Linked DNA regions of Daphnia pulex. The protein of the gene in region 3 interacts with the protein of the main gene of each other region in a pairwise test. Links are inferred from orthologs where the notes say so. Each region holds a gene or a part of one and is shown on either strand. Other genes may lie near its edges.

Region 1 (4,198 bases), on a different chromosome or scaffold from region 3:
TATCGCCGCCAGAAAAAGCATTCTGATCAAGAAAAAGAAGACCTTGATCTTGTTTGCTACTTAGCAAAGGTTTCTTTTCAAATGACTCATATGCATCATCAAGTTTCAAACAATTTTTTATTGATAACCTTTTTGCGCAGTTCCCATTTGAGATGAATAACGAAGATCGTTGTGTGGCTCTAATGAAAAAGCATCAGATTTCTCCTAATGCACCGAGTAGCAATTTGCAGCGTTCCCATATAACACCTTTTTTGGTAACAGTTAAATTGATGCATTAACAAAAACATAACAAGATTTTTTTAACCTTCTTTCATGCTTTTTTATTAGTCAGCTTGCTTTGGAGGATCGTTTAAACTCATTCAGTTCATGCTAGAATTCGGTAATTTAAAAATCGAGTATTTTTATTTCTAATATCGAACAAAGAGTGATGAACTCAACTTGCGTGCTCTCAGGAGCGGATAACGAATTCTACAATCTTAACGGAGATGGTGCCCTTTACATGGCTATCTACGGAATCGCGTGTCGCCTTCAATCTGCTCAGTGTGCTCAAAAACGAAGCAGCGAAATTCAGCGTGGTGTTCTTATAATAGACTGCCTCACAAATCTAGGTACCGCTTTTAAAAACGTTTATACTCTGCCTTTTTAAAGCACCTTTTCGGAATAGGATGCGATGTAAACTCAAGGAACGAATTTGGTTTCACTCCTTTACACTGGGCTGCTACAACAGGCGAGAAATGGCTAGTTGATCATCTTTTGAAAAGAGGAGCTGATCCATTCATTTTGACTACTCACAGTAAAGCTCCACCTTCTGCTTTTGCTTCAGAGAAGAGTAAGTGAACATGCTATGGCTTAAGAGTTACACAAATCAATTCCCTCACTTTATATCTTTCTTATAATTATTTTTTTTAGAACACGTCCAAATGCTATTGAAAGAGGCGGAGAACGTACACCGATCATTCTAATTTGACTTCCGTGTATCTAACGCCAGTAACTGTATTACAGATGTATCATACATACACACTGTACTGTACACGAAAAAAGACCAAACACCCAAACATGGTGAAACTGAAATTCTGATCGACAAAATGTAATAATTGGAGTATGATTATTAGTCAAGAAGATGTGGAGAAGGGAGCAACAGAATACAGTGTACAAAGTGCTCTAAAAGGAAATATGTCACTGACATTTCAATGGAAAGCACCTGTCTGAAAAATAATTAATTTCCATAGACACTTTCATCACTATAAGCTATGTAAAGAAAATAGTCTTCTTCGTGATGTTCCTGATACAAAGTTCCCATTGTAGCACAAGTAGGAGGAATTACATTGTTGACAAAGAAAAACAATGCATCCTCAGGTCGCAGATGGATTCGTTTGCGAATTAAGAAGTAGAATTGGCCAACAGTAAGATCAGATGGAACCAGATATTTTTTCTTATCCAGATCACCAATCCTTGCTTTTGGAGCCTTTTCAACAATGACCTAAATATTGTTTGAAAAAATCCAATAGATTAAAATGATAGGTTTCACATATTCAGCAGATATAATTTGAAACAGTTCTGAATTCATAGAACAACACTAGTTTTAAGTAACAATAAATTTCAAATGAGTTTCAACTGGTTGAATTTGGCTTGTTCTCAGAGAAAGTTGGTAAACAAAAAGTGATGGAAGGGAAATACCCTAACAAAGGAGAGTGACTTACAGGGACACGATCAGGATATTTTCGACGAATCTTCTCCCCCTCGGCTCTTCGTTTTTCGAAAGGATGTTCTTCTTTATATTGCCACTTCATAATGGTGGATAATTCTTTATTTGACAGCTTGAGAAAACCGCACAGAGCGAGTAAACTTGACAAAAAGTTAAAATGGTGAACGACAAAGAATTTAGGTCTCTATCAACAAACGACGCAGTACGTTTTATTTTGTTCTTGCAGAAACAGAGGGGCTGGCAGGGGCAGGCTAAGGTTTTAACTATCGATATAGCCTACTACCCAAAATTTCGCAAGATTCGATTTATATCAGTATTTTCATTAAGTGAGTTATCTTTTTCAATTCATTCAAACGATAAAAAAATAAATATTTAAGAATTTCCCGAGTAAGTTACATGGTGATTTGAAAGTAATCAAAATATGAAATGTCTTAACCTTTGCTACTAAGTAGGACTAACGATCGATACTATCCAACCATCCTCCAATGTCCAATCCATAAATCCACATGCGGTAAATTCAAATGAGAAAATTTGTCGATTGAATGATGCAATCGTAATGAGAAAAATTTAAAGCTGTATCTATAAAATTAGAATTTTGTCTCTCATATAATCAGATTGCGAAAGTATAAAAACAAAATCTTTTATATTTGAACTATTATATTAAGTTTAAGAGTATAGACTATAGACTAATAAGGGCTCAAATCAACTGGATTCAGTGTACAGTGATGAAAATATCATTAGCTACATTTCACTTTCTTTTAATAACTTATTATTAAACACAGTTTATTTCATAAGAATTTTTTTTACTGTTGCAATCTTTAAAAATGAATTAGCTATCTAAATAAATGAGCTAGCTTATTTATAGAATTATAGGAACTACTCAAAATTACTTTACAAATTTAAAGTAAAATTAAGATGAAGAATATCAAAACCATTTGAAGAAAGAAAGACTAATGTATTCCATGACAGTATAACACATTCACATTACACAATATCTATTCAATACCTTCTCTCTTTTTCCACTTCTCTTTTAATTCAGCCAATTTTTCTGATTTTCTAGTGTTATCTTTACTCTTTTTTTCTAACAATCTATTTTTTTGTGCCTCAATACTGTCCTCCCCATTGATTAGATTATCGAGTTTTTGGGTTAAGATTTCACGGGCTAATTCTCTGTTTTTAGCTAACGAGCGAGTCTGGTGACACTTAACAAGTAACCCTGAAGGTTTGTGACGTAAAAGTACAGCATTTGAAGTTTTATTTACAGCTTGTCCTCCAGGGCCACTTCCTCGTGTAAATTCCTCTTCTAAATCTTCAGGATGTAAAACTGGCACTTTTGAATTATCAAATGTATGTTTGTATCGATAATGTGCTGGACACACAGTTCTTTTCAACGACTGGACTAGTACTGTGAATTTTTTAGCCATATTTGTCACAGCAATCTCCTCTTGGACAGAAAACTTTGTCCCTTCTGCAAAAAAAAACATATTTTAAATTGAATTATCACTAATGAAACACTATAAAATAATTTCAACCTCGTAGGCTTTGCAAATTTCTTCTGGATTCGAAAGTGTTTTGTTCTTGTGAAACTCACTTTTGATTCTCTTTGAAACCAAACGTTTGTCGGATAGTTTTAACTGCCCACTGTAACGGATACAAGATCGGAACAACTCAAATATTTGAGTTTTGTTAGGAACGTTCATTATAATAAAAATTGTGTTCATCAAATTTGTCTTTTAACGACGAGGCTTTTTCCTTATTCTTTCATGGATTTTGTTTTCGTCTGCTGTTATTCACCAATTTTATTTTACACTATACACTGCGGCTAGTTTAGTTGGCGATTGTTATACTAGATGGCTTTAGTGTTTTGTCACACTAGATGGCCATGAGATGGCTTTAGTTGGCGATTGATTTCACACTAGGTGGCTATTCAAAAAAATCACTTACTCAACTTATTTTATATAAATATAAATATAAAATTTTTATATTTTCCCTGTCATGAAAATGGTTACGTACGGCTGTACGTTTCGTCACATGTGGAAATACTTCAGAAGAACAGTAAAGTTGTTGGTGTAACTGTAACCCTTCACATTTAGTTATCTGATGACGTTGTTTCTGATAATAAGCGAGTTTTTATTTTTCTATCAACAGCATGGTGAAGTTTGAGCTTCTTCATTGCATTCCAAATGCGCTGTGCAGTGTGATTTATTGGAGACAGCTGGTGAAAGGTGTTGCTCTTGCAGGCTTCCTACCTGTACGAAATGTAGCTTTTGTCACATGCAGAAACACTTTAGAACAATTTAAAGTAATTAAGTTGATCAACTTTTTACAGTAAGCTTACAAATTTACGACAAGTGACATCTTATTTTGTGCTTCTAAAAAAGTGTTTTTGTGGAAATTACTTGTAAAGAGTTGTAAACTTTTGTCGATGTATCAATAACAGAAATTCAAGAATTGCTTCTTAAAAGCTTGAAATGAAATTTTGATGATCTGTGA
Region 2 (5,260 bases), on a different chromosome or scaffold from region 3:
TGATTATTTATTCACCATGGGTTCAATATTGGCGGCTTTGAGTGCTGCAATCAGTCGCTTGTAGTAGTCGACGCCCGGCTGGTTAACTTCACCGATGCCGTTGGGTAGAACTCGAGCCCACGAGATGGAGAAACGATAATGAGACACCTTTGGAGATCATCACCATAAGAAGATAATGAGTGGGTTGTAAGGCTACATGCAGTAGCATATAGTGTATCGAATAGATCAAGTTAATGAATTCATTTATACTCCCAAACTCTGGAGGGCGTTGACGTCTTTCTGGTAAAAGTAATAGCTGTTGCAGGCCGTCTGACCGGTTGACCCGTCTAACACCACGCTCGAATTGGTCGTGTAGACATCCCAAATGTTCAGCCCCTTACCTGGAAATTTACATTTTCAAAGGAATTTGATTTGAAAAAAAAGTGTCGAGACTAATGGACATGTCATTAGGCGGCTACCGTCCGCGTCCCATCCGCCTTCAATTTGGTGTGCACTGGTGGCGGCGGCCCAAATAAAATCGGGTGGAAACGTGTCGTAGAGCAGTGGCTCATCCACGTAAACTCCGGCCGCAGCGCCGGCTATTACCAGTAGCCAATATGCAAATTTCATCACCATCTTCTATCTACATATATACACACAATTGAATGGCAATTAAAGTATAACGGTTAAAAAACCCCGATATTTGGTTATCAAACAGACCTGTTAAATTGAAACCGTACAGCTTCGAACGTTCACGAACGATCGATTGAACACGTAACTGCTGGTCACGATGCCGTTTATTGGTGGGGATTCTTTATCGCACTTTATATTGATGGCCAGGCTGTGGCGTCAGCGTGTTTATCATGGTGTTATCGACCAATACAAACATTACGACAACCAAAGCTGTGCGCACGGCAACATTCTCTTTGTTTTAGGTGATAATAATTTAGCGAAACCAATGGGCGTAATGTCAGCCGTCCGTGGTTTGAATACGTTTATTCAAACGATTTACACAAGTACGTTAACAGAATTCGAATCGCGGGTATACAGACACACTCTTCATCTCAAAAAATGAATCATTTTTTTGTACATTTATCATTTTTTTTTCCTTTGTGTCTCGGAACAATGAGAAAACAAAATTCTGTGTGATTATTACATAAGTACGGTTTGCAAGATTGAACACTGATCCGACAAGACGAAAACAGAAAACCGAAACATAATAATGATATTAAAACGATAAGGAAAACAAAATGTCAATCGTTCCGAAAGAGAAATGTAACCCAACATTGTTTTTTTTTCCAGACAAGCCACTGCTGCTGTTGTCCACAAAAAAGAAAAATTTAGAGAAAAGTGAATCTAAGACACTGTGTCTCGCTATTGTAGCATCTCTTTCAAAGCTGAAAGGATATCTGTCACAAATTGTTGCTTCAAATTGGAACTAACTTTATATGTACATATATTTTTTTTCTTTGTGTTGAAATCATGATCAGACGGGAGGTGGGGGGAAGCCATATTGGTTGGTTAGCCATCAGCTTAGTTGCCGAAGGATTCTTGAGAAGCGTAGACCATGTAGAGGAAACCATCTTCATCCTGTTCCCTTTGGAAGAGTTCACCCATAGTCATGGAGATGCTGGCCATGCTGCGTTGGTTGACCAGCAGGAAGAAGGCCTGATTGGGGTTCAGTTGCATACGGCGTCTATTGGCAAATGGAGAGATCATAAAAAGGATGATGAAATAAATGCTGCATTGCACAAGAAAATGTGAAATTGGGTTAAGCCAAGTTGATTGATACAAAATAAAGTGCTGCCCTCTTCAGAAACACGAGCTCTAGCAGCCACAATGAATTGAGGCCAGGATGATTGCACTGATTACAAAATGGGTACCTCAATATTTTGATGAGCTCGGCAACAGTCACATGATCGGGGACAAGAAATTTAGTCTTGTCCAGGAGAGGTAGATTCTTCTCCCCAGCGAAACGTTCGACAATAATGGGAATCTTGTTTGGGTGAAGCTCTCTCACCATGTCCGCATCCTTGACTCGTTGACCTATAACAAATCGTCGTAGAGAAAGAAAGAGACACAATCAAAACAACATCGACAAATGAACATTGTATAATACTGCAAACTCACCGTAATTCCTGCGTTCTTTGAAGGAGGTATGCGTCATTTTGCTCATCACTTTTGTGGCAGCTAAAATGTGCAAGGCAAAGAAAGGAAACAACTCTTGGGCGAAAAAACAGCTGACACCCCAGCGACCCAGCAACAACAAAACAACAACAAAGGAAGGCGAGTTTGGGTACTAACGCGCAGGTCCTTGGCCTCAGGCTGTTATGTACTACGTGTGTTCCAATCGACGACTTTTGACGCTTTTCGTTGCTGAAAATATGGATTTCCTCTCTCTGCTCTCCACAAGTTGGAAATTCAACGAGCGGAATGAAATAGTAAAAAATGGAAATATTGCTCTTTTCGGTGAGAAAAATTTCGAGGCGTGTGACGACACGACTGAATGACGTTGAAGCAGACTGTGCACTGTCACAACAACAAAACCAGAACTCAAACTGGGGCTGACGAACGTGAACTGCGTAAAAAAAAGTTCGAGTGTATATATATAAGTTTGCAATGCGCAATCAAAAAACTACCAAAGACGCAAAAACTTTTATTAGACACCCATTTCCCCATCATCTCCCAGCAGGGAGAGAGGAAAAAAAAAAGCCCCATGAAATACAAATAGAGTCTCGACCGAATATTCCCTTTCCATTTTCAATGTTCTTGAGTTCCCCACTCTCGTATTTCTTTTTCTTTATTTTCATCCTTTCAATTTTTATCTTTCTTGGTCTTGCGTTACTCGACGTCATTTGAGGCTTTTGTCTCCAACCAGCATAGATGGCAGTTTTCACCGTTTATTAATCGGCCGCTAGATGGCAGTGGGCGTCCAATCTTTTTTTCCGACAGGACGCGCGTGGATTTTCGACAGCAGCGATTGGTTCAGACACCACAGACGGCTCAGAGTGTGGCTGCATGAGAGTGTGTGAATTTCCCTTGCTCACACACACACAGACTGAGGTCTGCACACAGAGACACACACGCGTCACTTTTTGGACAACACCAATCCTCGCGTTCCGTGCAGTGACAACAACTTTGACAATCAACTTGTTCGTGAAAAATCAATTGATCATCCAAATTGGTGTGTGTGTGTGATCAAAAGTGTCTTACACAGTTGGTTTTTCATTTTGAAACTGCACAGCAGACGGCTCCAGCGCGGCCATTGTTCTTCTCTGCCCCCCCACAAGTTTTTCTCTTCAAAATCCCCGGAAACTTCAATTTTTTCATTGGGGAGGGGATTTCTCTCTCGTTTTCAATTTACCGGCCATTTTCCGCGTCGAATTCTGTTATTCGTGGATTGGGGAAAAATCGATTCAACTTTTGGAAGCAATTTTTGTCTGGTAAGCCGGTCGAAGGAGGAGGAGGGGGTCTGTGTTGTTGGAAATATTTGCCACCAGTCTCGCGTCCAAGATGGAGGATTCCATCAGCTGTGGAGTAGCAGAAAAAACCAGCAGCAGCTACAACAACGCGGCTCAAGTGCGAGTGGTGTGAGTGGTGGTGGTGTATGTTATATCGTGTGTGTGTGTGTTTTTCGCTTCGCCACCTTTTTTTTTTTAATTCCTGATATCATTTGGGGGTCAAATTGAAACCACCCGCGAGATTCGTCTCGACAAGAAACACAAACGTTTGGCAAGAAGAAAGTGTCGTGTTAGTTTTTGGCTATTCAGTGTGCACCCCCACCTCGTGTGTGTGTGTGTGTGTGTGTGTCAGTGATCATCTCACCCAAAAAATTCGAATCGAAAAAAAAAAATTGAATCGAGAAAAAGAAATCAGAAGAAATCGGTTGGAATGCAATTCGTCATCGACTGCTGCCGCCATCTTTAATCCTGCAAAAATCACATTTTCGTCGATTTTCGCCAGGTAATAATTTTTTTTTTTTTAATTCGAGCCGTCGTAAAATGTGTCAAATGGTTATAACCATTTCCAATCAGGTGTGTAAATATATATGTCGGCCATCTTGTGTGTGGAAAAAAAGTTTTTCCATTTCCCAATCGTAATCTTATCGCTGTGTGTTGTGTCGCCGACTTTCGCCACACACACACAAACTCTCTCAGATTATTATTATACTCACAGACGTCACACACACACACAAGCCAAACAGTAATAATACCGGCGAAAAAATACGAATAGTTGACATTTTCATGTTTGGTTTCCATTTCATTAGCCAGCATAGGAGGAGGAGGGGGGTAGATGTCGTTCGTCTGTGTTTGTGTCATCTTCTTTTCCCCCTAATATTTTCGGTTTGGCCCCAAGGGGCCTCTTGGATTTTTTGAAATTGTCAGGGATTTTTTTTTCGGGGGTTAAAAAAAATTCACCCAATCCCTCCCTACAAAATGGCGGCGGCTACCCCCTGAACCCCAAAAAGATAAAAAAGAAAAGAAAAAGAACAAAATTTTTCCATTCAACTTCACATAAGCGGGGTGCATTCATCCGGTATTTTCTTTCCCGCCAATCGCCATTCCCCCTCTTCTACCATGTTTGGTCGTTGCGTTTTAATGTTTTATTTTTGAACGAAAACGAAAAATGTCAATTTGATATCATTTTAAAAACAATCTCACGAGAGAAACCAAGAAACTGACTTAAAATGGCAAAGGTTATTTAATTCGACCGCTAGAGGCTCTGATTGAGAGTTGATCGAGAAATAAACAAAAAATTCAAAATTCTGTTTATTTTACCTAATTTCTTTTTCAAAAAAGTTATTGTTGAAAGTTGTATATTTCGGTACGGTTCCACCATGAAGAAGGAAGAAGAAACCTTTTTTTTTTCTTCTTTCTTAAAGAAATAAAACTTCCCAAAAAGACGAAAGGCATTTTTATGAGGCCGGGGGGTTGTTAAAATAAATGGATGCCATGGCATCAGCTAGGCAAAAGGACGAGAGGAAGAAGTAGAAGAAGCTCAAAAGGAAGAGTTTGGATGAAACGTTGTAAAAAAGAGAAGAAGAAGTAGAAGAAGAAGGAAGGTTTTTTCTTTTTTTGAAGCCCCTGGAGGCGGGTCCCGGTCAGCTTCCCCCATAGGACACACACACCACACCAAAGTATTTGCCCTTCAAAAAAACTTTTTCCACCACCTTCAGAGTCCCCCCCACCCGAAAAGAGGTGGAATGAAAGAAGGGCTGGATGAACGGTCGGATGTGGAGAGAACCGAAAAAGTTCCTTTTTTCTCTTATTTTAAATGGCTC
Region 3 (5,192 bases):
ACGTTAACTGAATATTTTATAACTAACGAATAATTTGTGCTTTTTAGATGATATTAATGAAATGTACACTATGTGCACGTTTGATAAAGCTTGGCGTCCAAAGAAGCTTTCGCCGTGGTGCGCAGTTTTCAGCAAAGAAGACCTTAAGGTTCAGAGTTGTGATTAAAAAGTTCAATGTAGTTAATCAAGGATAACTTCTTTTCTATTAATCGCAACCTTTTAGATACTTGAATATCGCGAGGATCTGAAATATTACTATGAAGACGGATATGGGTTTCCCATAAATTACGAACAGGCTTGTATGCCGTTGAAGAACGTCTACGATAGTTTTAGGTAAAGACATAAAAGAAATATAAATATACAGTCGCACAGTGTCGTCATTTTTCCTTCAACTCCAGGCATGTTGTGGAAAATCCAGCTTCTTCAAATCCAAAGGGAATCTTTTACTTTACTCATACTGCAACTCTTCTTAAAGGTGATTTTCTATATTATTTATAGCATTATTTGATCATAATAAATTTTGTGTTGCACAGTGATGGCCCGATTTGGATTATTTAAAGATCCCATCGAAATGAAACATACAAATCGCCATCTTATGAAGAATCGGGAATGGCGCACGTCATTGATTAATTCTTTTGCCGCCCACCTAGCGCTGGTCCTTTTCAACTGCTCGGATGGCCACTATATCACTGCTTACGTACAAGAACGTCCTATCATGCTGCCTGGATGCTCAAGTGAGCTATGCAAGTATTCAGATTTCACGAAAAAATACGAAAAATTTGCCACTTCTTGTAATGTTGATGACATCTGCCGTATCTAATCATTTTATTCCAATATGTTGTACCCTAGCCAATATTCAATAAGTGCATTTAATAGGGGCCAAAAACTTTGCATATGTAATGTGACACCTGGTTTCGATGCTTTCAATCAGATATAAACGTGGTTCTCGGGTATTGGGTATCTCCGTTTTAATATGATGCGATATTTCACGTATTAAAAATGCTTGGCACGATATTTACCATTTAATTGTATTTTTAAACGCTTCGTGATAGGAATCTGGCAAAAAAAATCGATTTAAAATAACGTTTTTCGAAGTCTTTGTCGGTCGTTATTATAATGAACAAAGTCGCAGACAAATCGCAGACAAATTATTCGTATGAAATCTAAAGTAAGACACATCGTTCAGAAGAACTCAAAAGAAATCAACCCAAGATCTCGAATTCATCCTCTGAATCCGCGCTGTCAAGAGCAATGGCTTCATCCGCTAAATCCGTGGTACTCGGATGCCACTCCGCTTGTCTTTGACTGCACACTTCAAATAGATTTTGTTTCTTTCCTATTTCAGTCATGTCTTTAAATTGTCGAAGCAAATCCTTCCATTCGGAATGTGTAGTGCACGAAAAACACTAAAATGCGAGAAACAAAATAAGACATAATTTTCTTAGTCTTTCTCTACGTATATCATACCACTGCTAAAGAGGGATCCATGGATTGAAAAGAGATCCGCGCACATGTGGCAGGATGATAAGAAGAGTCGTCGAACTCATCTTCGTCAAGATCGATAGCGTTTTGGGTCAAATGAGGATCCAGAAAAACCACGTCGTCTCCTATAAAAACATCAATTAAAATTGAACCGATGTAAGTGATGTCTATACATACCAACGTAACCAATAAAATAAAGGGCCTGACTAGGTTTCCCACCGATCATTCCAATCGATTGAGGCATTTGAAGACAAGCCTAGCAATTTACAATAAAAATATCTTTATGATTATCAAACACATCCTACATTTACAACATTATTCTAATGTTACCTTCAGACTGTCAATGTAAATTGGATTGATGTTCAGTAAACCTAACCGTAGGGGAACAACAAGTAAGAGCGGACTCCACGTAGACGTTTCCGTTTCCGTAGGGGTGATTTTCTTGTGACATAACTGTTCTGTATAATAAAATAAAAAGATAAAGTGTAAAGAAGTTTTCTTAAAAGATCTTTGACATATTGATGTTGTGACTAACCAATTTCTTCAATAACAACAGCATTATCCATAGCAACATGGATCTTCAATGCTGACCATTCATCATATTCAGATAATTTCCTTTAGGAAAGGTTCAAAAAATAACATAGTAATGTATGTGAGCATTTTAAAATTACTGCACTTACTTCAAGACTTGGGCAACAGTGTTGGGACCAAACCATTGTCCGATTTCTTTGCCTTCACTTACTCCCATTTGAGCTAATTGGTGAATAGAGTAGACTGCTGTTTTCTTGTCTTCAAAAAGCTTTAAAATCTTTTTATATGATTCAGTTGTTCTTTGATCATCCCCTACTGGCCAAAATGGTTCCCTTCCTATAAAAAATCATGTTAAACATGGAAAAAACATTAGAATTTAAAAATTTCACCTAAATGCTGATTAATTAGAGCCTGTGCCACAACCATCTGGCCACAACGAAGCATACAACCCCAACCACGGTCACTAGTCATACCAGAATCTCCAATTGGAGGAAAATTTCTACGATATGTTAATAACAGTCTGGACTTCACATCTGAATTAAGTTCATCCAGTTCTAAGAAAAAAAAAAATATCTTGAATTGAGTGAAGTTCTTGGCTAGAAGTGACTATTAAACGCCTACTAGTTTTTGTGTCGTATTCTCGGCCGAGTATCCATACAGGTTCATCATTCACTTCGAATCCCTGACGTTCAAGAATGATGCCACTCTCGTAAGTTACAAAAGCTTCACAGGCTTCAAGCATTCTTTTTGTGTTGACAACAAAAATTTTAAAAATGGAAATTAATAGCTTAATAACTAGAATTACGCATCGCATTCGGAGACGAAACTACCATTTACAAATTGACAACAAGTTTGCTGATGTGTCTGCTAATATGTCAACAGTAAGCCACCTTGCGCCCGATTTTGTAACTATGATCTATAAACTGCTAATTAACTATAAACCAATTTATAGATCATGGTTCTAACATGGTTCTAACTCTAATCGGCTCTAATAGCTATGACCGATTGAACTTGATATTCATAATTATATCCTGTAGAAACGGGCAAGTCATCCTGCTTACCCTGCGCGAGTAAAAATACACGGCTGCAACGCTCCGTTGTACGCGTAATATACTATACCGCCAAGCCAACTAATAAAAAGGGCATAATAAAATGATGAAAAAGAAAAATTTAGATTTAACCATAATAACATATTTTTTTATAAACAATAATTGAGAATGACATTTTTTTAAACAATGTGTTGAATTGATTAACAAGGAATGTTGGATAACTTTGTAAATTGTAAAACAAATTTTATCTAGTGAAGTCTAAGGGCCTAAGTTAAGTCTAAGTGTCTAACATTAGAAAATTCAAAGATGAGTATGGTAGACATCGATTTTGCTTATTTTCCGCCCCACTGAGCCATAGGTCCATTGAAAGGATACTTGATGCATTTATCCGAACTGAGATAAGCTGCAACTTTTTCTAGCGCTCCGATTCCCGCGTGAAATTCTTTCAGATTAGGGAATTCATCAAGTAATCCAGGAATCAATTGAGAGTTCTGGTCCAACAATTCATACATCACAAAGTCCATGTGGGTTATCTTTAAAAAAAATTCAATAATTAAAAAGGTTACATTGGCAATTGAAAGTCTAAAAAGAAAATTTCACCAGGCTGATGAAACTTCATTTTCAAAAATTGCAATCTTTTTGCTGTGAAATTTTACATTGGCTGTTAAAGGTCTAAAAAGAAAATGTCACCATACATTCTGTCCTGCAAAATATGGGTGACTTCCCAGAAAGGTGGAAACTTCCTTCAACTTCACTGCAACATTTTTAATGTAATCTGGTTTCATCTTCTCCTGTAATAAACATTGAGAAGAAGAAACAGTCAAAGCATACACAAATATTGAAAATGCTGTTTAAATTATACTCACAAAATCATCATGATAGCACAGTGTGGACCACTTTGAACGCATATCAATGGCTTCTGCCTCTATCAAGTCCACTCTGATTTGCTCCTCCTCAGTCTTGGCTGCCATGTTATGCTTGCGACCCAAATATTTCAGAATGGCAAAAGTTTGTGAAAGCTTGACATCTCCATCAATGTAGTAAGGGCACTAATAAAGACACATGACATTAAAAAAATCATCTGCACTCACCAACATGTTCATTAAATAGCAGATATACTTACATTCGGGAAATCCAGACCAAGGTTAAATTTGTTGTTCAACCACTCACTCGGGTCATAGTCGGGAGCCGGTCCAACATTATAACGCTTCTCCTCATACTCAACCCCGGCATGGGCCAAAAGAAGTCGAATAGGTTGCATGTACTATTATTTACACCAAAATTGTCAAACACAGTTTCGAAAACGATTGAGACAAAAACAGTTGAATGTTCTTTTCTTAATTAACTTACCCCACGAATATTCCAATAACCAGTTTTGACAGCCATGATAAAGTCAGGTAAAGTAGCCGTACTGTACTGCAGACGTTCTTCTCTCAGGAGTCGAATCGCTCGAATGACTCACGACTCAGTAAGCCTGTGCGCTTAGGAAAAAGATTACAAAGTTGAGGGATGGGAAGGGGCATAGTACAATCTACAATGTGTGAAGTGATAAAGCGATTGATGCGCAATTGCGCATTTCCAATGTTTGGACGAAATGTTAATAATTCCTATCCAAAATTATGAATACTTTAGTTTTCAACAATCGAGTACAACCGGATACCGTGATAGTCATAAATGTATCTTGCATGACAAACGCGACCTGCGCAACTCTAAATACACGGCCGCAAGCCTGCAACGCTCCGCGTCTGGTTCCGTTTATAGAGTATTGCACAAAGAATCTTTATGAACAGTAATCAATAAGAATTACATTTTTCGTTAACGTTGTATTCCCCATTAACAAGGAATGTTGAATAACTTTATAATACAAATTTATCTCGTAAATTCTAACAAAAAAAAAACGATTAAATTCACAGATGATAGTGGTGTGTACCATAGATGAAAAATTTGCTTAGTTTCCACCCCAGTGGGCCGTAGGTCCATTTAATGGATACTTGATGCATTTATCCGAACTAAGGTAGGCCGCGACTTTCTCTAGCCCTGCGATTCTGGCTTGAAATTCTTTCAGATTAGGGAATTCATCAAGTAACCCAGGAATCAATTGAGAGTTCTGGTCCAACAACTCATAGATTA

The links. The genes of interacting proteins can lie anywhere in the genome.
Region 1: the proteins of cysteine protease ATG4B-like (region 3) and gamma-aminobutyric acid receptor-associated protein interact in binary tests that used the Caenorhabditis elegans proteins (3 or more experiments, as listed by UniProt). The link is inferred for Daphnia pulex from reciprocal best matches to the Caenorhabditis elegans genes atg-4.1 and lgg-1.
Region 2: the proteins of cysteine protease ATG4B-like (region 3) and microtubule-associated proteins 1A/1B light chain 3A-like interact in binary tests that used the Caenorhabditis elegans proteins (3 or more experiments, as listed by UniProt). The link is inferred for Daphnia pulex from reciprocal best matches to the Caenorhabditis elegans genes atg-4.1 and lgg-2.

What each region holds. Positions count from the first base shown.
Region 1 is NC_060018.1:4,840,404-4,844,601, forward strand, and holds gamma-aminobutyric acid receptor-associated protein, read right to left. Parts: upstream 1,972-4,198; 5' UTR 1,791-1,971; coding exon 1,701-1,790; intron 1,481-1,700; coding exon 1,217-1,480; 3' UTR 963-1,216; downstream 1-962. Other genes in the region: 26S proteasome non-ATPase regulatory subunit 10-like, read left to right, coding at 1-69, 141-254, 328-379, 453-608, 665-829, 910-962. UniProt on the Caenorhabditis elegans protein: Ubiquitin-like modifier involved in the formation of autophagosomal vacuoles (autophagosomes). When lipidated mediates tethering between adjacent membranes and stimulates membrane fusion during autophagy. Recruits lipidated-lgg-2 to maturing autophagosomes.
Region 2 is NC_060019.1:5,714,827-5,720,086, forward strand, and holds microtubule-associated proteins 1A/1B light chain 3A-like, read right to left. Parts: upstream 2,872-5,260; 5' UTR 2,156-2,871; coding exon 2,110-2,155; intron 2,026-2,109; coding exon 1,863-2,025; intron 1,676-1,862; coding exon 1,513-1,675; 3' UTR 957-1,512; downstream 1-956. Other genes in the region: cytosolic beta-glucosidase-like, read right to left, coding at 16-147, 250-380, 459-615. UniProt on the Caenorhabditis elegans protein: Ubiquitin-like modifier involved in the formation of autophagosomal vacuoles (autophagosomes). When lipidated mediates tethering between adjacent membranes and stimulates membrane fusion. Less effective at promoting membrane fusion than lgg-1.
Region 3 is NC_060025.1:3,217,396-3,222,587, forward strand, and holds cysteine protease ATG4B-like, read right to left. Parts: upstream 3,023-5,192; 5' UTR 2,828-3,022; coding exon 2,635-2,827; intron 2,568-2,634; coding exon 2,403-2,567; intron 2,350-2,402; coding exon 2,163-2,349; intron 2,098-2,162; coding exon 2,018-2,097; intron 1,941-2,017; coding exon 1,813-1,940; intron 1,739-1,812; coding exon 1,660-1,738; intron 1,608-1,659; coding exon 1,468-1,607; intron 1,407-1,467; coding exon 1,203-1,406; 3' UTR 1,011-1,202; downstream 1-1,010. Other genes in the region: multiple inositol polyphosphate phosphatase 1-like, read left to right, coding at 48-148, 224-333, 399-475, 534-820; glutathione S-transferase Mu 3-like, read right to left, coding at 3,395-3,595, 3,758-3,853, 3,929-4,111, 4,186-4,326, 4,413-4,448. UniProt on the Caenorhabditis elegans protein: Cysteine protease required for autophagy. Cleaves the C-terminal amino acid of ATG8 family proteins lgg-1, to reveal a C-terminal glycine.